3 linked regions of the Notamacropus eugenii genome follow. The protein of the gene in region 3 purifies or fractionates together with the protein of the main gene of each other region. This does not show direct contact. Links are inferred from orthologs where the notes say so. Each region holds a gene or a part of one and is shown on either strand. Other genes may lie near its edges.

Region 1 (7,878 bases), on a different chromosome or scaffold from region 3:
ATTTCTGAATCCCCTACTCTCCACAGAATATTGGACTACATTTGGGTTTTATATGGATAGTTATAAAGATCCCAGGTCTAAGGGGAGGGGAGACTATGGATAATGATAAGTCAAATAATTACAATAATAAAAGAATGCAAATGAAAAGCTATTTAAAAACCAATTGGAAGAGGGAAGGACATTGTAGTGGAATCAGAGAAGGCCTATGATCCCAGTCCTGATTCTGACATTGGCTATGGAGGCCCCTTTTCATTCTAAGATTAGTATATATCCTATGTATTTTACAGGGTTTCTCTGAGGATAGCACATTCTAACCTAAAAAGCACCAAATAAATGCGAACTCTGGAGCTATCCTCAGTCTCATTTCAATACTCGAAGTTCTTAGGCAGAAACAGGACAATCACTTCTCAGGGATACTGAAAACCTGACCAGCTCACTCTTGGTAGTGTTAAGACCAATGATCAATGAATGTCCCTTCTAACTCTGCATCTCTGATATTCTAAAAGTAATCCTGAAATGAAAAGTGTTTTCTCTTTTCTCACTAAACCATGTTCTACTAATTCAGTGTGGCATCTGAAAAGAGTAACTGAGCAACTTACAACTGAATGAATATATGTAAGAATTTTCTAACAAAGCAAGGTCAGAAGATAGTAAATTCCCTATCAAAATATCAAATGGAGGTATTCAACCCAGAACTTGAACTTAGCAGAGATGGGGATGAAAGAGAGGGGGAAGTCATTAATCAGACAGGAGGTAAGCCTAGAAGACTTTCAAGATCCATTCTAAATATATGATTCAAAGTGACTTGCCCAAAGTTACCTAGAAAAGTAACAGATACAGAACCAGAGCAGGTCTTCCAACCCCTAATCCAAATATTAACAAAACTAAGCAAAATCTTACCTATTCTCATTATTGTACTTTGCATACTATGATACAAAGTGATCCTCAAGTTTTAAGACAAATTGTAAAGAACTCTCACTTTGAATTGTTTAAGTTGAGAACCTAGGGAGGATACCAAGAAATCAGAAAGAATTTGCTTTAAGGTCTCTAAGCACAATGTGTAAAATGTTTCTATACCATCTCTCTCAAACACAGCACTCTAAACTCATCAACTAAGATTTAAAACTCATTCATTTCTTCAGTGCCTTGATGAAAATAACATCAAAGCATAATTAAATAGGTTTTTCTTTTTGGTGCTAGGAGCTGTGTCTCCCTCTTAAAACAATATTTAAAATAACATCAAGTAATCAGATACCTAATATTACACTTTGAAGATGTATGATACCAAGACCTTACTAATCATAGCAACTCTTGCGATGTAAGTAAGTATTTTCTCCTCCCTGAAATGGGGACAAGTGAGGGGGAGATTTAGTTTGTTGCCGAAGGTCACCTGGTGAATCACTGGAGAGCCAGGATAAACTTGAAGTTCTTGGCTCTAACCACTAAACATGGTGGCAAAAATCTCAAAGCCACCCAATAAGAATACACTTTTTAAAAATGAGATGACACTCGGGGTCCGCAGAAAAATTCCTGCCAACGTAGACGAGGCAGTTGACCTCTGTGCTAATCACTTTAGTTACCTGCACATGTTCATAATCACCTTCCAAGAAAAAAATAAAACCATAAATTACAGTAACAAACAAAATAATCACGGGTTATCCTTCCACAATAAAGACAATTGTAACTAATTAATTAGTTGTAATGGCACTGGAAAGAAAGAAAGCAAACCAACGACTAGATCCGCGAGAAGGGTCCTTCCCAGAAACCTTGTATTAGCTATCATAATTACCCACAACAGACACAATCAAACGCTACCAGTCAATCTGCAGGGAAACACGATAAAATAATCCTTCTAAATGAGTGATTCTGCTATTAATTTCATGAAAGAGACTAAAGACGGCTCCAGGGGGCATTTCACGTGTCTTCACAGGCACCAGGGACAAACCGAGGAGAAATACCAGCCGGGTACTGATCCTGCGGTAGGGGAAACCCATGCCTGGGGCAGTTCTCCCGTCTCCACCTCGTGCCCCAAGAATGAATGCCTCAGGAAGGGAGGCCGGGGCAAGCCCACCCCGACCCAGAGGATGGAGGGGGAAGGCCCCATGGGGGCTGGGGAGGCCTGCGCCCCGGCTCTCGCGTGGGTCAAATGCGGCCTCCCGGCTGCAGCCCCACGTCCCAGACGACCATTCCCGGCCCCCGCCGGGGCACGAGCAGGCGATGGGGGCCCCCCAGGCCGGGCCCCCCACTTCCTGTCACTGGCACCGCCGGACCCCGGCGCCTCCGCCTTCACGGGCGCCCCCCAACGCCCGCAGCCTAACCGGGCTCCAGCTGACAGCCCAGCCCGGGGGCCAAGGCCACGGGCAGGTCGGAGCGGCCCCAGGTCCGGGCCGCCCCTCTCCCTCCTCACGCACCTCCGCGACCCGACACGGCGTTTTGGCGCCAAATGTCCCGGGGAGCGGGGAGGGCGGCAGCGGCAGCTACGCCGGACGGGGCCCTCGCGGACCGACGCCCCCGGAGGGGACCCGCGGCCGCGAGCCCCGCCAACGGCCAACCGCCGGGGCGCGCGAGCCCCGCGCCCCGACTTGGAGCCCGACCCGCCTCCGGCCCGGCCTGTCAGGCGGCCCGCGCGACGCTACACCGGCCCAGCCAGGCCCAGCGCGGCCCGAGCCCCGGCAGTCCGGGGGCGAGCGGCACTTACCGTCTGCGGACCTCCTCCGGCAGCGGGAGCCCGGGCGAGCCCGGCGCGGCCACCGGGGCCGGACCGGTGCGGGCGGGCATCTCGCGGGTCCGAGTGGGGAGCAGGGAGCGGGCCGGGGGACGGAAGGGAGCCGGCTCCGGTCGCGCAGGGGCTAGCGCGCGGACCGCCGGCTTTTCGCGCGGAAACCAGAACCGCCGAGAGGGGAGGGGGAAGGGGGAGAGGAGAGGGATATACCAACTGGGAAGGGGGTGGCTGGCCGGCGACGGGGTGCGGGAGCCGAAGCGACCATTCCGGGAAGGACGGTACCAAATGTAAGTCCCGGCGGGGGGAGGCAATTGGAAATGGAGGCCCCCGCCCCCCGCTCCGACTCCCCTCCCCTCCGGGGCAGTCCCTTCGGCTCCCCGCCTCACGCGGTGCTGCAGGGGGAGGGGGAAGGAGGAGGTCGGTGGGCGTCATCCCGTGGTGCCCGAGGGGAGAGAGGAGCGGCCTGTACCATCGGCGGCGAAGAGAGAGGGGGAGAAGAAATGGACTGGCCCAACGTGCCTCTCGGGAGCTCCGAGCCTAGGATGAAGAAGAGGGGAAAGGCAGCCATTAGATCCTGAGCCCTGCAGAGGAGGATGAGTCCTGGGGACCCAGATCTCCCTCCGGGTGGGAGCTGAAACTCGTCCGCCGCAGCCTGTCTGCTTAGCCTCTGCCTGCTGGTCATCTACTGCCTCCATCCCGGCCGTCCCTTGTCTCGCTAGCCCGGGCTGCTGCGGGGCTGGCCGCTCAGCCCCTACCTGTTTGGGCAGCCCCTGCCTATGGGCAGCCATTCATTCAGTCTTGTTCACTCCTGCCCTCAGTCAGACCGTCTGTCCGGACACTCACCTGTGTGATGGTCACTCCCCGTCAGCGTCCAATACTGCGTGGTGATCTGTGTCAGTCAGTCTGTCTTATCTGTCAGCATCTGTCTGTTCAGTATCAATAACTCTGTCTTATTCAGTCAATGTCCCCATGGTAGGATTGTAGGATTCAGAGCTAGAAGAGACCTTCCAGATCATCTCATCCAACCCCCTTATTTTACAAAGGAGACAACTGAGGCAACGAGGTCAATCAACTTGTGTTGTTAGGCTGGGTCGGTATTAGTCAGTCAATGCAATTCATTAGTTCCTATTATCCATGTGATAATGCTGGATCCCTAGGAGTCAGCAGACTCCAAAATCTTATTGTCGCTGATTAACTGGCCCCCATTCTAGTAAACCTGTGGCTAAGGAATCTTGAAATGACTCAGAAGAAAGTGGTAATTGAGAAAGATACCTGGCCTATAAGAAAGTCTGTTGACAAGCTAAAACACCCCCCAAAACGCAGGATGGACCTGGGTCCCCAGGTTGTTATTATTAGACTCAAAATATTAGTGTTCTCCATTTTCAGAGATTCTTTAAAAAGCTCTGGGCTTGAATCTGAAGCCACCCATCCCATAATTGATCCCTTCTTGGTCACTAAGGGAAAGGAAATTATCCAATGGTCTGGCATTCTAGGCTGTTAATGAGTAAACTTTGGAAAGGTCCCTGCCTAGCCTGGGTGGAAAAGATGTGCAGAACTAGAAAAGGCTTCAACTAGCCTGAGAGTTTGAACAATGCTTCCTGTTCCCAATTACAACCGCCTGCTGTGTTCCCAAGGGTAGAGGCAGAGTTCAGAAGTGGATCAAGAATCTGAGTTTCAGCCAAACCAAGGTCAGACTCAGTGGGAAATGTACATTGCCAGTGACATAGTGGTCAGTCAGCCAGGAGACCAGTGGAGCTGAGTCACCAACAGTGCAGTAGGTTTAGTCACCCACATGGACTGACAGCTTTACTGAGCTCCCTCTCCCAAAGGTAGAGGAGAGTAAATGTAAACAAGTGCAGGGGCCCAGAACTGACAGCACCACCCCTTCTCAGCCCAACAGAACCACATCAGCCTGCAGGGTGTCTGCTCCTGGGATTTGCCCGATCCTGTTCCCATATCTCTGACTCAAAAGACCTGTAGAGATGAATTTTGCACAAACTGATGCCCTCACTGAAATGTAGCAGAAAAAAACAGGTGGAATACCCCCTCTTACCTGCTGAACTGGGTATTCTAGTCTTGTCTGGGGCCCAGAAAAGGCTTGAGAGGTGTGTGTATGGAGGGGTGGGGGATAGGATCAGGTTTCCTGACCTATCCCCAAACTATGACATGGGGTGTGGAACCAGACTTTCTCCAGAACATTTTGTATCCAGGCTCAGTTCCCCACTTTTTTCGGGGTTGGGCTTATGGGAACCACTCCTTCCTCCAGAAAATTGGACATTCCATCTCTGTGGGGCCATTCTGGGTTAAAGAAAACTGACCCAAAAGTCCTTTCCATCACTGGGAGCTGGGGGCAATGTTGCTGCCATTCTACAGAGGGGGAAATTGAGGCACAAAAAAAGAGGGGAACTACAGAACTCAATGGCTCCTTTTAAAATGTGAGTTTCCAAGTTCCATAACCAAGCATCTCTTCAAAACTCCCCCCCACACTTGTAGCCCCACCCAAATGCCATGTGGGATTGTGTCCACTGGAGGAGCTGCTACCCAGTGCCTCTGGCCAACAGCTCAAGTTTCTAAACAAAGTTGTCTCCGAGCTCCCCTTCTTCCTGACCTTAAGGGGGTGGGAGGCCCTGGGAAGGTTTAGTCTAGAAAGAGTGTGCAGCTGGGTCAAGAGAGAACTGTGAGGGTCTTTCTGAAATTCAGCTCTTTTTGTGTCTACATGTATTGGTTTTCTTTTTCTAAATGTACCTTGTGCATGCAGTACACTGTGTCTCCTTTTTTTCTGTGCCTATATATAGGTATACTTGGAAATAAGTATGTGGGTTTGTCTTTGGGTTTGTCTCTTTCCACATATTCCTAAGAGCATTCCTTGTGTCTTTGGTTGTATGTTGCTGAGTGTTAATAGAGAACTAAGGCTTTATGACCTGAAGAATTAATTATTCTTCTTACCACTGTGGGAAACAAGGAAGTTCTGTTTCCACAGTCATGACCTAGGATGGTCAGGTAAAGGTCAGAAACCTCACAGGCTTGATGAGCTGTTTGAAGGAAAGCCCATCACAGAGAACATAAAGTCACATGACCAGGGGACAGTGTCGAGGGAGATCCAAAGTTCGGAAAACAGTATAAGAAGTTCCATTTTCCTGAACGTGTTATAGTCATCCTGTAACCTTACTGGGGAGGCTACCTGTCCATTCAGGGGGAATGGATGGAAGTAAAGATTAATAAAGGCTTTCCTGGCTTCACAACAGGCATTGTTCCTTTTTTAAGGAAAGCATGTTTCTCACAGTTCGGGGCTTGTAAGATGGGCTCATTTCTCACACCACCTTCATCCCAACCCCTGTCCCATCTGTCCTGAACTCTTTCAGAGGAAATCCATGGTTCACCCTTAGGAGCTGCCTCACACTATGCCCAGTGTAAATGGAAGGAACCAAGGAAGTTTTCCTAGGACCCAAGAAGGAGGCTTGACTGGGGAGAGGTTCTGGAGAGACCATTCACTATAGCTATACATCTGGAGCTTTTCTGTGACTGGAGTTGGCAGCCTTTACCTTCCTGTGAGGTTGAGGGGATGTGGGAGTGGTAGTAGTGGTGGTGGTGGTAGATGGGTAGAAAACCACTGCTCTTCTTTTCCCCCAAAATTCTGGTCTTTATTGGTGGCTGGAAAGGATGCTAGGGACCTGGATACCTGCGTTCTTCTCAGCTGTCCTTGGCAAGATGTGGTCCTGCCCTGTGCTTCAGTTTCCTCAGAATCCTCTATTGAGGCTGAAGAGGGCAAAAGGCTTTGTCCTAGAGGAATGCCCTGCTAATGGGGGGAGGTGGGGAGGAAATCTGTCTCTTCAGGGAGTGGCCCAATATGTATCAAACCAGCCTCCTGAGAACATGGTGTTCCTGACTTTCTCGAGTGTCCATTCAGCTCTCCTGTCCTACTGACAAAGCCATATGGAAAAGTCCCTGGATAGCAGTAAGTGGTAGGGATCAATAAAATCATTACAGTCAGTTTTCTTTGGGGGATGGCTATCCAGAGTGAAGGACAAGCCTGTGGGGGGGTCTGTCACTGACCTTCTGTTCTTAGAAGCACCAAGATCCTGTCTTTGGAGTATGGGGAGGGACCTGGCAGAAGCAAGAGAGGAGGAGGGTTTCTAGGGCAGCAGAGTCAACAAGTCAACAGGTAGCCTAGGGAGGCTGAGAAAAAAGGCAGGCTGGGGTTGGAGTGGCCTCTCCAGCTCAGACAGCCCCACCCCCCCCACCTCCCCCAGCAAGGAAAGAATGTGTGTGTAGAGGGGCCTACCCCTCAAAGCCTGAAGGATAAAAGTCTTATTTCGCCTTTAGAAGCAGTACCCAAGCAGAAGACAGGGCTCAAAGTGGAAACTCTGAGAGAAGTCAAACTGAACCATTTAATCAGCCCAAGGTCAGAGGCTGAGGGAAGGGAGAGGCATGAGGGATTTCCCAAGAAGGCAGACATAATACAGGGTTTGTTCCTCTCTCTTCTTTTTATCTTCATTGCAGTTGTCTTTGGCAAAAAGTCTCCTCTCAAGAGTCCTATTAGGAAGGACCCTTTTGCCCGATTAGTGGACTATAGGTAGCCAGCAAGATCCCTGCCCCCTCCCACCCCCAATGGGAATGACTTCCTTGTCATAACACAAAAAGCATTAGACGGGAAGGAGAGAACTGTTTCCCCCTCCCCTTGAGTTTTCAACAAAGACCAGAGAAACAAAAATGTGGAATATTCGAACTACAAGTCACTGAGGAAAAACAAGGGAGTGGAGGGATGGAGACACACATACACACACAGAAGCACTCGTACTCTCACAGGCATAAATATACATGGTCACTCGTACCGTTTGATTCCCTTTCATCCACAGGATTCCAGGTTTTCTTCTGCAGAGTTGGGGGTAGGGAGGGGGAGCAGCCTCAGGGCATTTATTCTTCCAATTTCATCTGACTTGAACTGGGCAATAGCCATTCTGCTAGGGTTAAAGGTCTCACATGTTCTAGGGGATTTGATACCTTGTGGGAGCTAGTAAAGGATGGATAACTAGGGAGGAAAGCTGGGAGTAGGGAACGGGGACTGAGCTTGGGGTCCACAGTGAGAGTAGCATATAACCCCCACAAGAGCTAACCCCAGCTTTTTCACCCCTAATATGGGATGTCAAGAATACTCC
Region 2 (8,276 bases), on a different chromosome or scaffold from region 3:
TTTGTAAGAGAAGGGGTTTGGGGGGTTGTGGTCTGATCCGGTTTTTAGTTTGATTTTTTTTCCCCTTGTGCTCAGTGCGTGCGAATTTTCTCCTCTTTTTTGGAGGGGGGAGAGGGAGAGCGGACGGCAACGCTGGAAAATCTCGGTTCAGAGTAGATCTACTGAGGTTTTTAGCTTCTCTGTTTGGGGACAGGAAAAATAAAAATCGTCTTGCATTTTGCCAAGCTCGTTTTGTGTCTTTTGCGGGGCGAGGAGCGGAGGGGGCGGGGAAGGGGAAGGGGCACGTTCCTTGGCCCTGGAGAAAGAAAGCCAGCAAAGAGCTAAGCCAGCACGAGCTGCGGCTGCAGAGGCGGCAGAGGCAGCGGCAGCGGCAGCAACCCAAGCCAACCGAGTCCAGGCAGCAGCCACATCTCCCCCACCCTCCCTTCCCCCAGCCCACCCCCACCCCCTTGCCCCTGCTGCCCTTTAGCGGCAGCGGCGGCGGCTGAGGAGGAGGAGGACGGCGACGACGAGGAGGACGAGGAGGAGGAGGAGGAGGAGGAGGGAGGAATAGAAGGAGGGAGGGAGCGAGGCACAAAAGACAGCGGGACAGACACCCACCTCGGAGCGGAAACAAAAGGAGGCAACGACCGGCCACTTTTACCCGCACGTTGCAAACGCAAACCCTTCGTCTCCCTCTCACCCCCTCTCTCCTCCACCTCTTTCTTTTTCTCAACAAGGCTTCTGGGGAGGAGGGGAGGGGGGACGTCCCCCCTCCCTAAAAGTCCCACTTTTCCATTCATTAGCATTATTGTGATTACTTTCTCTCTGGTCCACACTTGACCATGGGAGCCGGCGTCCGATGTCCAGTCTCACCTCTTTCTTCCCAGGATTTTTTTTAAGCCTTTGACTTTTTTTTTCTTTCCGGCGGTTGGAGAAAGAAATCCCTCTCCCCTTCTCCTGTTCCCCGGGGTTGTCTGGGAGTTACTCTCATTATTATCATTAATTATTTTGCAAAAGGGGGGAGGGAGGAGAAATCCTAGTGTTTCTTTTCGCAAAGAGGAATAAAGAAAAAGAAGGCGAAAAGAGAGAGGAGGGAAGGAAAATAACGAAAAGAGAGGTGCACGCTTCTCCAAAAGTGCAAGCACGGTTGCGGTTTGAGGTGCTGTGGGTTTCCCCCTTTTAATTTCTTTACACCTCACTTAAATGTTGTCTTTTCTCCCCTTCTCAAAAATAAAATGAAACGCATGCACACGCACCCTTTCTTTCCCATCTTCTCTTTGGCACTCCCGACCCTATCATCATCATCCTCATTATCATCATCATCATCATTATTATTATTTATTATTATTGGGTTACTTACGCGAGAATTCCCGTTTGCTTAAGTGCTGGGGCTTGCCTTGCTTGCGGCGAGACATGGTGGGTTGTGGAGTAGGAGGCGGCGGCGGCGGCGGCTGGTGAACTACAGCTCGGTTCACATCGGGAGAGCCGGGTTAGAAAGAAGGAGACTCCAGAGAAAATATCTTCATCAGTGCCTTTTGACATCCAAAATAAATTAGAAATAATACAAAGATGGCGCAGGGAAGATGAATTGTGGGAGAGCCGTCATGGCTTTTTTTTTGGGCAAAAAAAAAAGAGAGAGAGAGAGAGGAGAGATAGAGGGAGAGAGAGAGGGAGAGAGAGAGGGAGAGAGAGAGAGAGATGAAAAAAATGGCAAAAGCCCCCCTGAGCTGCAAGTTCAAGTGCGGACGTGACGTCCCTGCGAACTTGAACGTCAGGAGCCTGGATGGACAGAGACATACAAAACATGGGCAGGGCGAGCAGGAGAGAAGGGGAGGAGGGAAGGGGAGGCTAACACCAATGGACACACATCAGGGGCTGGACATGAAAAAGAGACCAGGACAAGCCAATGGACAGTGCTGGGAGGGGGAGGTGGAGGGGGGGGCTCTCCAGACGCCAGACACAAGCTGCCTAATGGGGGGGTGGGAAGGGAGGAGGTAGTGCTGAGAGGGGGGCAGGGGAGGCGCGGGGGCATGGAGCTCACAAGTGGCCGCAGCCGAGTACAGGAGGAGACGGCATGGCCAGGAGGAAAGAAAAGAAAGGGGGAGGGGGAAGGGAGAGGTGTGTGTTTGGGGGGGAGGGGAAAGTCCTCCCCTCTCTCCTCCACCCTCTAAAAAGAAAGGTTAAAACAGGAGACAGAAGTGCTTAAATAATACGCCAAAGGTGTACGTAGAAAGGGATGAAGACAAACGACAGAGGAGCAAAAGAAGGCGGGGGCGGGGGGGCCGCCGACCAGGTAGAGTTGCTGTAGGACACCCCCCCTCCTTACACACACCCACGTCCCCCCTCCCCAGCTAGCCTCACACACAGCCCCGCGTGCATGCATCCTGGAGCAGAAGTGAAAGCCGATATCAATCTGCACTTCTGAAACTTTTTTCTCCCCCCCCCAAAAAAAAACAGCACGAAAAGAAAAACCAGAAGTTTATAACTGAACTCTGAAGTTACTACCCAAGGAGAAAAGCCCCGAGGTTGGGGAGGGGGTGTTGCGGAGAGTGGTAAAGAATTAATTGCAAAAGAAGTTTGTGTACCGTAGCAGCCAGAAAGGCAGAGGCTCTCAGGAGCCTCGGGCTCCCAGGTTGGGGAGAGAGGAAAGGAGAAATTCTGCGTGTAAAGGAGAGAGGAAGGACTAGGAGATCCTAGAGGTTTGGGGGAGCGACCAGAGAGGGAGATGGGGGGAAAGGGGGAGCCCAAGCTCCAACTCGGCATCTCCCTACTTACCCCCATCCCCCTGCACCCCAAAGGCAGGCAGAATAGGTGGCTAAGGAAGCCTGAGTGCCAAGAGAAGGGACAATGTCAATGAAACTGCAAAGCACGGATCTGAGGAAAGCGAGGTGCTGCGGCCCGGAAAGGAAGAGAGAGAGAAGGGTAAATAAATAAATAAAGACAGGAACACAACTCTGAGACTCAGCGCCGTTACTGACAAGAGTGGGGAAGAGTCCAGGAGAGCAAAATCGTTCAGGAAGGAGCGATAAGCAGCTTGGAGGCGGGAGATGCAGCGGTAACGGCACTAGCTTCGGCCGCGCCGAAACTTACCCTTTAATACTGAGCACCCATGGCCAAGAGAGCAGCCCGCGAGTTGCAAGGTTGTAAGGTACCAGCTGGGGGGGTGGGGGGTGGGGGGAAGGAGGAAAGAAGCGGGGGAAGGGGGGGGGGCTTTGTATGTGTGTGCGTGTGGGTGCCAACTACTCCCCCAAAAAGATTGCCTTTATTTTTTTTTAAATGAAGGATAACCCATCGAGACAAACTAGAAGCAGAGGGGAAACCGATCTGTTGTTGGGATGGACTGGGAGAGAAGAAAAGGACGTCTTCCTCACTCAAAAACTGGGAGTGGGGGAGAGGAAGGAAGGAGGGAGAAACACTCGGAGAATGAATGAATCAATGAATGAATGAATGTAGCTGGAGAAAAGAGAAGCTACACCGTGACTCTAAGAAATATTTTAACACGCAAAGCTGTATTAATGACATTACCCAGGGAGAGGAAAAGAGAAAGGGGAAGAAAACGGGTAATAGGAATCTCACAGTTTGCTCACAAAAGCAGCAGGGAAGAAAAGAAAAGTGGTTGCCAACCTTGCTGGAACTTAGCCCCCTTCCCACAAGCATGCATTCCTCCCTCCCCCCACCGCACCCCGAAAGCACACGGCTCAGATAGCTTTCCTTTCTCCTTTTTAATTTTTTTTTCCCTTGATGAAACTTAGAAATTAGGAGAGACTTGTTGGAAATGAACCCCTGTCTCTTTAATGCTCGTGACCGCGAGCTCGCACACACATACGCACACACAAACACACACACACACACACACACACACACACTCATAGGCTGCTGCTGCCGCCGCCACCGCTGTCAAAAAGCGTGCTTCTCTCTGGCGTGGGATACTTTCAGTTTTACGTAAAATGTACAGCAACAGCACCCCCTACGATTGGAAAGTTTATTCTGAAACGTGCCTGCAAAGTCGTCTCACCTCTGCTCTCCCTAGCTGTGGCACCCAGCCGCCAGACTTTCTTCTGTTCCTCCCCCCACCCCCCAAAAAATGGGAAGTGGGAGGGGGAACAGAAGAGGAAGGAATGGAGTGAAGCCACGGTGAGACCTAGGACCAGACTTGAGTGAGGAGTTTAGGAGAAGGGGGGAGCCGACTGAAGGGAAAGCTGGAAGGGGAGGGAGGTGTGCCCCCTGAATGAATGAGGAGCTGTTTCCTCTCCTTCCCTCAAGGCTCACAGCACAGCCCCTATTTTCTTCTAGCCATTATATTCCCAATCCGGGGGGGCGGGGGCAGATGGGCCCTGTAAAGTGAAATGCTTGGTGGACTTTTTTTGGAAACCTTACCTAAATCTGGTGCTTCTCCAGCTTCAACCACCCCCTGGCTGAGCTGCTCGCCCGCGCGCGCGCGCACACACACGCACACACAGACACAGACACAGACACACACACTGTGCACGCACGCGCGCGCATCTGTACCTTTCAGTCTTGTAGGCTTGCATGCTGCTGTTTAAACGGGTTGTCATCTTCCTAAAGTTTTAAACCGATTCAAAATGACTGGCTTCTCATTCCAAGGAGGCTTCGTGCAGCCTCTGAGAGAAGAAAAGGTTTTTGATGTTCAGGAATAGGAGAGTTGTGGAAAGGAAGGAGTGGGGGGATTGTCTGTGTGCGGTTTGTTGTGCGTGCACGTGTGTGTATGTGTGTGTGCGTGTGTATTTTCCTGTTCTCTGAGAGAGAAAAAACCCTCAAATCCTGTTAAGAATCAGGAAGGAATCATTTGCAGTAAAGCTCTGTAGCACGTACCTGACATGATTTTCCTCTTTTTCATGGGCTCTTCAGAGCAGGTCAGCATCTATCTTACACTACTATCTATTTTTGTCTTGTTCTTTATAAAAACAGCCTTTGAGCTACCAAATGAATGTCATTGCTTGAGTGAGGGGTGGCGGAAAAGGGGGAATGCATTGGGGGAAAAGAAGGTTGGGGGAGTGGAGTGCAACGGAGTGTTCCTTTTCAAAAAATGCACTAAACACAATAAAAGGCATTTTAGGTAACAAAAGCAAACTGTCTCATTCTTTTAGAACCCAGGATTTTCATATTTGATTATTGTACCATCTATCCATAAAAGTCCATATATACAGGAGGCAGATAAGTAGATGTCTGTGTGTCGTGAAAATATATATATATATGATTTATCTATAATGGCGTATATAAAGCTTTTCAGGGCTGGATGTAGTGTAAAAAGTAATGACTTTATTACCTCTGAAAGGTTCTGTGGTTCACATTTAACAGTCTTCTGAATTACAATTCATTACACAATTGTGCGCTCTCTAAAGCCAGCACATATCAGGGCATCTATCTGTGGTTATTTCCAATAAATAACTGGCAACATTTTATTGATTTTCTTTAAAAAAAATCATAGGAAATTAAGCACTTAGTTACAAGTAGGTCTGCTTTATTACTGCACTTGTTTGAGATTCCAGGGGGTTACTTCCTAAACCACATCTTAAAACATACATTAAAAAGCCAATTTTTTGCAGCTGCTTTTCGTGTGTGTCAGTGGAGAGGGAACCAGTAACGTTTCCACCATTAACATATATTTAATTTTACCATCATAAAATGCCCGGAATTAAATGGAAACTCTCCCCTCCCTCCCCTTAAAGCCATATTTCATGCCGTCTGGATTATTAACATGACTGTATTGGCATCTGATCCATACTCCACGAGTACTGCCTTCTTCTTTACCATCCCCGCTGCCTCCTCCCCCACTTCACCTGAAGTTCACTTAACCTTCCAAGGGTGGGGCTGGGGGGGGGAATTTGGGGGGGGGGCTTTTTTAAAAAGGTCTTTTAAGAGTTTGTTTTTTTTTAATGTAAGCCTAGATGAATGATGCAGGTGTTTTGTGGAGGGGGGGTTGAAAGAGAAGCTTAACGAGCACACTTGGATATACAATGAGTATATTTACCGTTCTTGAAGTGGCTTTTGGAGAGTAATAAATTATGACAATATTAAAATTATTTTCTGGCAGTCCAGTTAACTACGTTTAGGGTTGTAAAGCCTTTGCTGATTCCATTTATGTTGTAATTATGGTCCGTGGGCTCTTTCTAAACCTTTGGTGTATACTGTGTATAAACTCTTTGCTAATAGCTCCTTCCCTCCCCCCCCCCCCCCCAATGGGGGAGACTTTTCCCAGGACTTCCTGCAGTATATATTCTGCCTCTGATCTCCGTATTTAATAGCCAAGTTCTGGTTTATGCTTTATAATGTGTTGACAAGTTTTCTAACAGACTTTCTGAAATAATGCACATATATTCACGTCGGTTAGAAACTCCATCGTATTTTTAGAGCTGAGTAGATCTATACCCTAATGCAGTGGGAGAGCGTAAATCATAGAGGATTTCATAGTCCTTTCAGTAGTTTTCTGTATGAAGTATGAGCATCGTGGCCTCCAGACGTAACCTTTTAGAAAAAAAGACAGTGCTTTTATTTTATGGTGTAAAGTGCTTTTAGCTTCAGGGCTCAGAACGTGAATGTGGTCAACAAACAGCTCCTGAAAGTGAGCTTAATACAGTTCCCTGGTCCTAGTGGGGAGGATTGCCTGGCGCTGGGGACTTGAGCTCAGCTGGAGGCGAAAGAGTTAAAAGATCTGTCTCGATGGAAATTACAAGGCTAAAATAAAATATTCATTGCCTGACTTTAGTGGGGTGGGGTGGGGGGACTTTTATTGACTAAAAAATAAATACATACTTTGAAACAATCAGTCCCTGCCTCTCTCCCCTCCCCCATTCTTCACCTCCAATATCTGAGAGATAACAGGACTTGCAATGATCTTTTAAAAGATGCCTCTTTATTCTACCTTGGGAACACTTTTGGGGGTTACTGGAAGAGTTTGTGTATAGGGTTTTGGGAGGATAGAGAAGAGAAGGGGTGGAGTTATTAATATAAGGGCAAATGAAATTTAAGTGGGGGGGCTAAATGGATAGGGGCTGGGACAAGGTAGAAAGAACACCGTCTTCTTGAAAGGAATTGAAATGTGACAAAGGAAAACCACAGAGTGCGGCAGCTCTCCCTTGCTACTTTTCTCAAGATCTACCCTTGTTCAACTATGTACTTTGTTACCTTCTCCCCCAGATTGTGCCTAGGAGCCTGCAGTTCTAATTGTCATTATTTAGGACACTGAGAGGGGTTTACAGAAGGTAGGCTGCATATGAACTTAAACTGAGCAAACCAGACCTCGAGAAGACTTTCTTGTTACAACTTAACATCAGATCCTCTCTCCCTAGCTTTTCCTAGGTCTTTAAAGGACTGTGCAGATCACAAAAATGAGTGGAAATGTTAAATAGCAGAGGGAAAGACTGACTGAGCTTGAATCGTGTCCTCAAACTGTCCCCTAATTCATGTTGGGGGTGCGGGGAGAAGGTATAGGAGATGTATAAGAAAACACAATCTTGTCCATATAACTTCAGTACACCTCAGTACACCAGCAACATAATCAGTTTCTAATACATTTTTGTTTTTATTTGCATTGGGTTCCCAATTCTCTTGTCAGGACTCTAGGAACATGAGTTTTGCTTTTTTTTGTTTGTGTGTTGATTTGGTTTGGTTTGGTTTTTTATGCATTTGTTACTTCTGTGTGACTGTGGCCAAGTCACCTTACTTTCTCAGTAAAATGAAATACTAATGGAAATACCTACCTTGCTTTGTTCTAATTAAAGGACACACTGGAAAGCCCTCTAAAAACAGTAAAGTGTTATTCACATATAAAGGATCATTATCATTTAGAGATTAGCATTTATTCTTAAATACTGAACCTAACTAAGCTACCGAAATTTTATATAGGAAGCAATGTCAATAGAAAAAATGCCAATCCATCTGCTTTCTTGCTCCACTAGATAATTGAACACACACTCTCATAACTTTTGTACAGTACATCACAACCTCAGTGACACCCTAACCTATACAAGTTACATTATTTTCCCCAGAAATCATCAGTACTTTGCTCAAGCAAACTTTAGTCTGTAAATGTGAATGAATGTACCTTTAAATCTAAGAGTAATGAGCTTGGACACACCTGTCCCATCTATGGCTAAAGCTGAACAATTACGATGTCAAGCAAGCTGTTTCTGTCAACTTCCAGAATGCCACATGATACAGTAGTATCCCAATAAGCTAGGGTCAAGAATGTGAATTCATTTTTTTAAAATTGCTTTGCATCTCTGTGCAAATCTGCTTTTCTGAATAACTTTGAAGATACTAACACCAAAGAC
Region 3 (7,516 bases):
CCAAGCAGGTCCTCAAACATCACAGGCCTCCCCCCCTACCCCCACTCCCTCAACCCCCTGACAAAGTAGGACCTGCAGAACCTAATGTCACTTGTTCTTTATCTGAATCCTAGTGTTTATCTTTCAGAGAAAACTCCCACCCCAACATTAACACTATCCCTCCCCTACCAAAGGCCTCAAGCTGGCTAAGCCCAGCTGTAAAGTGTTAACAGGGATGGGTGCCAAGCAAAGGAGAAAGGGGCAGGATAACAACATAGCAAGAAGCCCAGACCCATAGGCCATTGTTTCAACTACCAGGGAGAAGGGGGGGTGGGGAAGGAGTTGGCAGCTGACTCCTCCCCTTGCCTGTGCTGCGGAAACCCAGGGCTAAGGCAAGGGGACCACACCCCCCAAACCCCTTCTGATTGGACAAAGCCAAGGTCAGTCCCTGCCAGATGGGGCAGTAAACCCCAAGGGGCTGTGAAACTTGGAGAGCCTTGTTCCCCATTAACCCTTTAGTGCTGGAACCTTGGTCTAAAAAGTTGAAAACAGACATATCAATGGAAAGAAATCAAAAAGGAAAGGGGGGGAAGAATGATAGAGATGAATTATTACTGGGAAAAGAAAGGGAGAAAGAGGAAAAAGGAAGTGAGGGAGAGAAGTTAGGAAAGGGAAAGAGGGAGGAAGAGAAGAAAACAAAGAGAAGGAAGATGAAGACAAAAGCAAAAGAAATGAAATTCAGGAGTTTCTTCCTCTTCCCAAAGCCTCCACCCTGTGAAGACCAACTCCTTCAGTATTTAAACAAACCACAGCCCCTATCCTAAGGCAGGACACATGGTGTGTTTGGGACTTCCTTCCTCTTCACTTACCCTAACACAATCCTTCTCATTATAACTCTAGTTCATTCAAAACTTACCCACAAGTCCTGATTTCTCTATGATTAGATTCATTGTTTCTACCCTCCATAAAACCTCCCATTTCCCACTGTCCTCTCCTCCTGAAAACACTGGCTCTCCTCATCACGTTCCTCCTCCATTCTACTTTTCTGACATGTGAAAACAAGCCCTAACCCCTCCATGTAGACCTGCTTCCCCCATCCCAAAATTCATCCCCCCCCCCCCAGCCTTGGTCAGGAAACCAGAGGAAACACCTGCAGAGACCTGCCCAGACCTGAGGACATGAAGGAGGGGGAAGAAAGACTCACTGGCATTGCTGTCAGCCAGGCTATTGAGGCTGCTAGAGATGTCCCGTCTTCGGAAAAGGCAGACAACTTTGGCCTCCACGTTCCCATTTGCAGTCTAGGAAGAAAGAGCAAAGTGGTAAAACCGGATGTTAGAGAAAGTAGGTATGTCTAAGGAAAAGGGGCCAGTAACAGGGAATATATATTAAGCACTCACAGATAAAACGACAAAAGACCTCAAGAAATTATGTGCCCAACAGAGTGCAGCTCAGTCTCAGAGCCTCCCAAGTCCCCTCCCACCTAAGGAGCTCCGAACTAGGCCTGGGCCAAAATAAACCCAAGCAAGGACACTTTGAGAAGCACACATCTAGAAAGGACCCAAGGCACTCCATTCTAACCACCCAGAAGACCACCAATACTGTCTAAAAGTGATTGACCAGTCTTTACCAGTAGACTCCAGTAAGGAGAAACTGGTTAATCCTGAGGCTACCCATTCATTCTTGGATATCTGAGAACTGGAGCTTCTGCTTAGGAAGTCTGTCCTCACATTGAGTGGAAACCTACCTTTCCCTAACTTCTGCCCACTGCCCCATGGAGGCCATGCTGAGGAAGTGGAGTTGACAACCACCCACACAAAGAACAGAAGCGCCATGTGTGCCTAGATTAACCTTCAGCTCACATTCTCAGATGTGCTTCCTGGTGAGGATTCAAGCCCCTTCTGACCTCCCCCCACACACACACAAGCTCACCTTATTGAGCTCCTCAATCCTTCTCACCAGGTAAGGATTGCTGGAGGAGTTCTCAAAATAGACGTAATCTGCAGTGGGGAAGAGCCAGGAGGTCAAGAGGGGGAAGCCTCTCAAAGCCCTGAGTGAGGGAGGAGGGATGCAACAGGAAAAAAGAAAGAGGGAGGGTGGAGACCCTCTGGGGGTCTCCCATCATCACATTTACTAGGTTCTGGACGTTGGCTATCCAATGGCAAACATCAGAAGCCAGCGAGCACTTTAGCCCGGGAGTGCTGACCAGGACATGGGCAGCCTGTGGCCTCCAGCCACCCCTGCCCACGGATTCTGGGCCAGGCTTAGCTAGCTCTAAGGCAGGGCAGGCGCTGTCCCTTTGGATCCGGAGGAGGACTCAGGATAGGGGTTCGAGCCGGTAAAGCCCGGGTTCAAATCGAACCTCCAGCACAGAGGAGGGAAAGTGACTGGGGCTGCTCAGGTGGAAAGGGTCGGGGGGGCTTTCCTGCCCTGGGACACCCGAAGCTCTTTACATCCGAACTCAGGTCCCGCCCATCAGACGGAGGGCCAAGGAGCCTCCCAATCGCCCGAGGCGGATCTGGGCAGGAGTTCTGCCCCGCGGGCAGCGCTGTCGCTATAGGGGATCCCGGAGCCAGCCAGGGCCCTATGGTGCCAGAGGTGGGGCGTCTGAGATCTGCCCTGGCACTCAGAGCACTGAGCCGGACTAGGTGACCAGCAGCCCAGAGCGCCCCGGGCCTCACTCCGCCCCCCTGCTGTGGCCTCGGCGGTCAAGTTCACCCACTTAAGTCTCGTTGCGCACCCCCCCCCCCGCCTGGGACCCCCCATGGGTAGGGGGATGGCAGCGCATGCGTCCTCTCTTACCGGGACCCCCGGCAAGGCTCCCCGTGCGCGCATGCGCCCCTCTCGTGCCGCCCCCCCCCCCCCCCAGTCGCCCGGCCCTCCCCCCCGCCGGTCCCGGTAAGCTCGTGCCGGTTCCAGCGGAGCCGGGGCGCGCGGTACTCACCCCCCACCCGGTACATGTTGGCCGCCATGGCCGCCCGACGGGGCCCGCGGGCGCCCGGCTCGGCCGCAGGGAGACCCCGGCGCTGCTCGGCCCTGCTCGGCCCCTGCCCCGGTCCCGGCCCCGCCGCCGCCGCCTCAGCCCCGGCTCATCCCGCGCCGCCGCCGCCGCCTCCCGCCCAGGACGCGCCGAGGCCGGCGCCGGGCCCGCTCGGCTGCTTCCGGCCCCCCCCCCCCCCGGCCCAGCGTCCCGGGTCCGCGGTTCGGTTCGTCCAAACAGAGCCCTGCCTCAGCGCCGAGCCCTTCCGGAACCCTTCCGGCTGCGCCCGAAGGACGGGCGCCCGCGCTTCGGCCACTTCCGGAGGCGCTTCGGCTCTTTCCGGCCCACGGCCTCTGGCGCTCGGGCATTTCCGCCTCCTCGGCCGGGAGGGGTGGGGCCGGGAAGGAGGGGCGGGGCCTAGACTTTAACCCTTTCCTCGCCTCAGCCTTGCAGCCCGACTCGCGGCCGCAGCAGGGAGAGTCGGACCTTTGCATACCCTTTGCTTTTCATTTGCATGGGCCCCGTTGGTCTTTTCTTTTCCTGGTTTGGTCCAGCCCCAGCTCAAGCACACTCCACTGCCCCACTCTGGTCAATCCTGGACCCTGAGAGCGGGGATCGCCCTTAGGGAGGGAGCACCGCGTCCAACCACCCTGCTGGTACCGAGTAGGAGACTAAGGCAGCCCCGAGGAAGTCCTCCAGCCCTGCTCTCTAACTTCCAAACCAGGGATCTCTCTAACCCTACCCCATGCCACCACCACCCCTCCCCGCCTTTCCCCTGCAGAAGGACACACGGGACGCTGCAGAGGGACTTGGCATCTGTTTTATTGACCCTGCTCGGGTGCAGGGTTGAGGAGGAGGGCGGGGGCTGCTCGGCTCAGCCTGCGGTTCTGTACAGTGTTGGGGGGTCCCAACGCCCCTCCCCGACCGGGAGAAGGCACGGAATGCAACGAAGTTGGAAGAGGGGGCTCCTGGTCCTTGGGAGGGGGATGGGGGCGATGGGAGGTAGGGGGAAAAGCACCCTCTAACCCCACCCACTCCATCTAGTCCTAGTGGGGTCAGGCATCCAGCGAGGAGGCGGGGGAGAGGGAAGGGGTGCGGGAGGGTGTCAAGGGGGCTGGTCCAGGGCCCCCACCACTCAGCATGCGCCACTGGAAAATGCTCGCATCCTTTCCTCCCAGTGAGATGAGGTGAGAATCGTCATGAGTGAACCGGACACTGGTGACGTGGCTGCCATGACCTCCGTACTTTCGGCTGGGGGCCTAGCGGTGAGGGTGGGGACAGAATGGGAAGAAATAGGTGGAATCTAGCCCAGTTATGCAGGACTTAGAACTTAGATATCACCATTTAACAAATGAGGCAACTGAGTCTCAAAGGAAGCGACTTGCCCAAGGTCACAGGGCCAGCAATTAAATCCTAGTCTCTTTACTCCGGAATGATGTGTCTCTTGGAGTCCCCTGCCTCTTCTGGCTTCGACTCACACCCCTCTTCCTCACCCCCACCCACTCTTCAGCAGCTCTCGCACCCTTCTTCCCCGCCAGCCCCTCCCCTGGCCTCTGAGTGGGTGAGGTGGAAGAGACCCCTCACCTTGGCCCGGGCGCACGGGTACAGAAACAGATGCACTTTGCAGAAGTCATCCGCTACTGCGACCACTCGCTCATTGTGGGACCGGCACAACGAGTTGATGTCAGTCCCGTCAGATCCGTCCGGCCACACGCCTACCAAGTCAAGCCCTCCTCATTCCTGCTTCCTCCTCCTTCCAAGCTCCCACATTCCCAGCCACCCACAGGTATTGTTCTCGGACATTCCGGGACCCACAATGCGGCATTGTCGGCCCCGATGCTTCTGACCTTTCCCTCCACCCAAGGGCAGTGGTTCTCAGTGTTGTAACACTGCCCTCCTCACAATATTCCCAGCTGCCTTCACCAGGCTTGGTGCTCACCATACACATGGAAACCCAAGACACACGTATAGGTTGCCCACTCGCGATCCCGGCTCTCATACCGATTTCTCAGCAGCTTACAACCCCCTGCCACGTCCCCTGAGAGGAAGGGAAGGAGGGAAGCTCCACTTAGGTCAGTCCCTTTCCATCAACCCAGCTAACTGAAGAAAATAAGGCCAGTCCAGAGGGGTTTGGGCTCCAGATCCTGGCAAATCCATGTTCTGGAAGTCACCCCTCTCACCCAATGCCCCTGGAAAATTTTTCTATAAATGCCTTTGCTTAGCACATTTTCCATGGATTAGGTTGATGAGATGATAGGATTTAGAGCCAGAAAGAGCTTTAGAAAACAGAAATATCAAATGTCAAACAGGAAGGGACCTAAGAGCACATAACTAAAGCACTCAGAGGGACCTTAAAAGCTAGAGTATTGGAGCCTAGAGGGAACTTAGAACCTAGAACGTCAGAACTGGGACAGACCCAAATCTCACTTTATAGATGAGCAAATGGAAAGCTGAAGAAAGGAAGTGACATCCTCAGAGTTCCCAGAGAGTAAGTAACAGAGCTGGGACTCAAACCCAGGATTCTGCCCCCAAATTCCACAGTCCCCCATCACCACCACCCTAGCTCTGAGTCATAGTGGGGGAGAAAACTTGACCCCAGTGACCCACCCCTGTGAACCCCTCCTCACAGTAGAGGATCTCGTAGTCCCCAGAATTGGACATGATGAAATTGCCATCCTTGGACCAGTCTAGGTGGGTGATGAAGCTGGAGTGCCCCTGGGGGAAGGAAGGGTAGAGGGCTGTCCAAAATGGAGCCTTCAGTTCCCACTCCAGTCCCAGGCCATTCTCTAGGAGAACTGTGAAGAGCTGGCCTGCCCCTACCACCACCAGCACCCCACCACATCCCACTCTGCTCATAGGGCACACTCACCGTGCATCGGCCAAACCGGCTGCACTTGGACCCATCACTGGACACACTATAGATATAGATCATGTTGTCGTGGGAACCAATGGCCAAGTAAATCCCATCTGAAGGAGTCAGTCAGTCAGTCAGTCAGTCAACAAGCATTTCTTAAGGGCTTACCTATGGGCCAAGCAGTGTGCTAGAAGCAGGAGATGTAATGAAAAGCAAAACTACAAAACCAAAACCAAACAGTACCTGCTTTTGAGCTTACCTTTGAATAGAGGAGACAAGGGGCCAGCAATCATGTATGTCAAAAAGAGGTATAGAATAATTGGAAGGTAATGTCAGAGGAAAGGAACTAGGATGGGGGTTGGGGTGGGAAGAAGGCAGGTCAGAGAGAGAAGCCTCTGGATGGGGGCAGGGGGTGGGAGAGGCTCTCACCTGGACTATACCTGACAACTGAGAGCTGCTCATTACCATCAGTGAAATCAGACACAATCTCTCGAGTCTCTGTGTCCAGAACCAGCCACCTGGGGTCAGAGAAGGCCATGAGGCCAGTGGCTAACGGCCCATCACCACCCCCAACATCTCCTCTTCCATCCCTCCTCCCCCTTCCCCTTCTCACCTCCCAGTGTTGAGTCCCACAGCCACAACTTTCCCACTGGGGTGGAAGTCAGCACAGAGACCCGTCTCCTGGAGGGGGAGGGTGGTCAGAGATGGAAGGCTGGGGTTGGGATTCAAGGAGATACTTTTCTCATGGGGGGAACCCACCAGATCACCCCGCCTGTTGATGAACTCAAAGCCCATCTCCCCTCAATGCTTCTCAAAGGGAAGGAAGGGCTAGCCCTGGGAGAGATGACTGGATTCCCTAAAGATTATGGGGGAGGTCAGGGAAGGGGGTCTCAGGAGATAAAGTTCATGGCAACAGTACCTTAAGATCAAGGCTCCAGGCCAGAGCGTGACACTCCCCATCCCACAGACAGAGCTGCCGGTCATGGCCACAGGTAAGGAAGCGGTTCAGGGAGGGGTGAGTACAGAGACCCCAGAGTTCATCAGTGTGGCCCTATGGGATACAAGGGCTGGATGACATTATAGGATCTCCTCACTGCCCTGCCCCACACTCCTCTGGCCCCACACAAACACTAACCTGGATAACAGGGGAAAAGCCCTGAGTCAGGTCTCCCCTCAGCAGCGCATTCTTTGTGGTCCCTACCAGCAGCTCTGAGCCCAGCCCTTCGGCAATGGCACGGACAGCTCCGAACTGTTCTGGGATCTGGAGGTGGGGGATGTCCATATCTCAGGAGGAAAGAAGTCCCTACAACCTTCCTCCTGCTCCCCAGCCCCATCTACCTCAGTTTCTCTCCTTCCCTTCCCCCATCTCCAGTCCCAGTCTTACCTCAGCCTCCTGGAGGGCAGTGAGCCCAGGCCCCCACTGAACCAGCCGTCGATCCCGCCCACCCCCGCTCAGCACAGTCCCGTCCCTCAACAGACACAAAGCGAAGATGGAGCCCTCGTGGGCTCGGGTCTGAGCTACGATCCCAAACGTCTCTGTGTAGAGGAGAGAGGGCCAAGATTGGTGGGATCAAGGTCACTGGGAAGGTCATGATACAGTGAAGGGGGAAAGAAGGATGGACTGAGGCCAAGCCCAGGTATAACGAATCCTTTAAAGCCTATAATGTAAGAGCTGGAAGGGGCCTTAGAACCCAGAATGTCAGAGC

What was found.
Region 1: the proteins of MTA2 (region 3) and DNA (cytosine-5)-methyltransferase 1 purify together in Homo sapiens (affinity purification with western blotting; 3 studies listed by BioGRID and IntAct, with this or other methods). This does not show direct contact. The link is inferred for Notamacropus eugenii from reciprocal best matches to the Homo sapiens genes MTA2 and DNMT1.
Region 2: the proteins of MTA2 (region 3) and BCL11A purify together in Homo sapiens (affinity purification with mass spectrometry; 4 studies listed by BioGRID and IntAct, with this or other methods). This does not show direct contact. The link is inferred for Notamacropus eugenii from reciprocal best matches to the Homo sapiens genes MTA2 and BCL11A.

What each region holds. Positions count from the first base shown.
Region 1 is NC_092875.1:79,920,223-79,928,100, reverse strand, and holds the start of DNA (cytosine-5)-methyltransferase 1, read right to left. Parts: upstream 3,137-7,878; 5' UTR 2,779-3,136; coding exon 2,699-2,778; intron 2,496-2,698; exon of another isoform or gene 2,412-2,495; intron 1-2,411. UniProt on the Homo sapiens protein: Methylates CpG residues. Preferentially methylates hemimethylated DNA. Associates with DNA replication sites in S phase maintaining the methylation pattern in the newly synthesized strand, that is essential for epigenetic inheritance.
Region 2 is NC_092872.1:644,360,259-644,368,534, reverse strand, and holds the start of BCL11A (B-cell lymphoma/leukemia 11A), read right to left. Parts: upstream 3,137-8,276; 5' UTR 3,073-3,136; intron 3,046-3,072; exon of another isoform or gene 1,515-3,045; 5' UTR 1,398-1,514; coding exon 1,343-1,397; intron 386-1,342; exon of another isoform or gene 1-385. UniProt on the Homo sapiens protein: Transcription factor. Associated with the BAF SWI/SNF chromatin remodeling complex. Binds to the 5'-TGACCA-3' sequence motif in regulatory regions of target genes, including a distal promoter of the HBG1 hemoglobin subunit gamma-1 gene.
Region 3 is NC_092873.1:15,725,492-15,733,007, forward strand, and holds the start of MTA2 (metastasis-associated protein MTA2), read right to left. Parts: upstream 3,057-7,516; 5' UTR 2,949-3,056; coding exon 2,921-2,948; intron 1,977-2,920; coding exon 1,909-1,976; intron 1,278-1,908; coding exon 1,184-1,277; intron 1-1,183. Other genes in the region: EML3 (echinoderm microtubule-associated protein-like 3), read right to left, coding at 4,012-4,215, 4,541-4,671, 4,896-4,994, 5,584-5,671, 5,826-5,923, 6,240-6,328, 6,424-6,491, 6,730-6,861 and 2 more. UniProt on the Homo sapiens protein: May function as a transcriptional coregulator. Acts as a component of the histone deacetylase NuRD complex which participates in the remodeling of chromatin.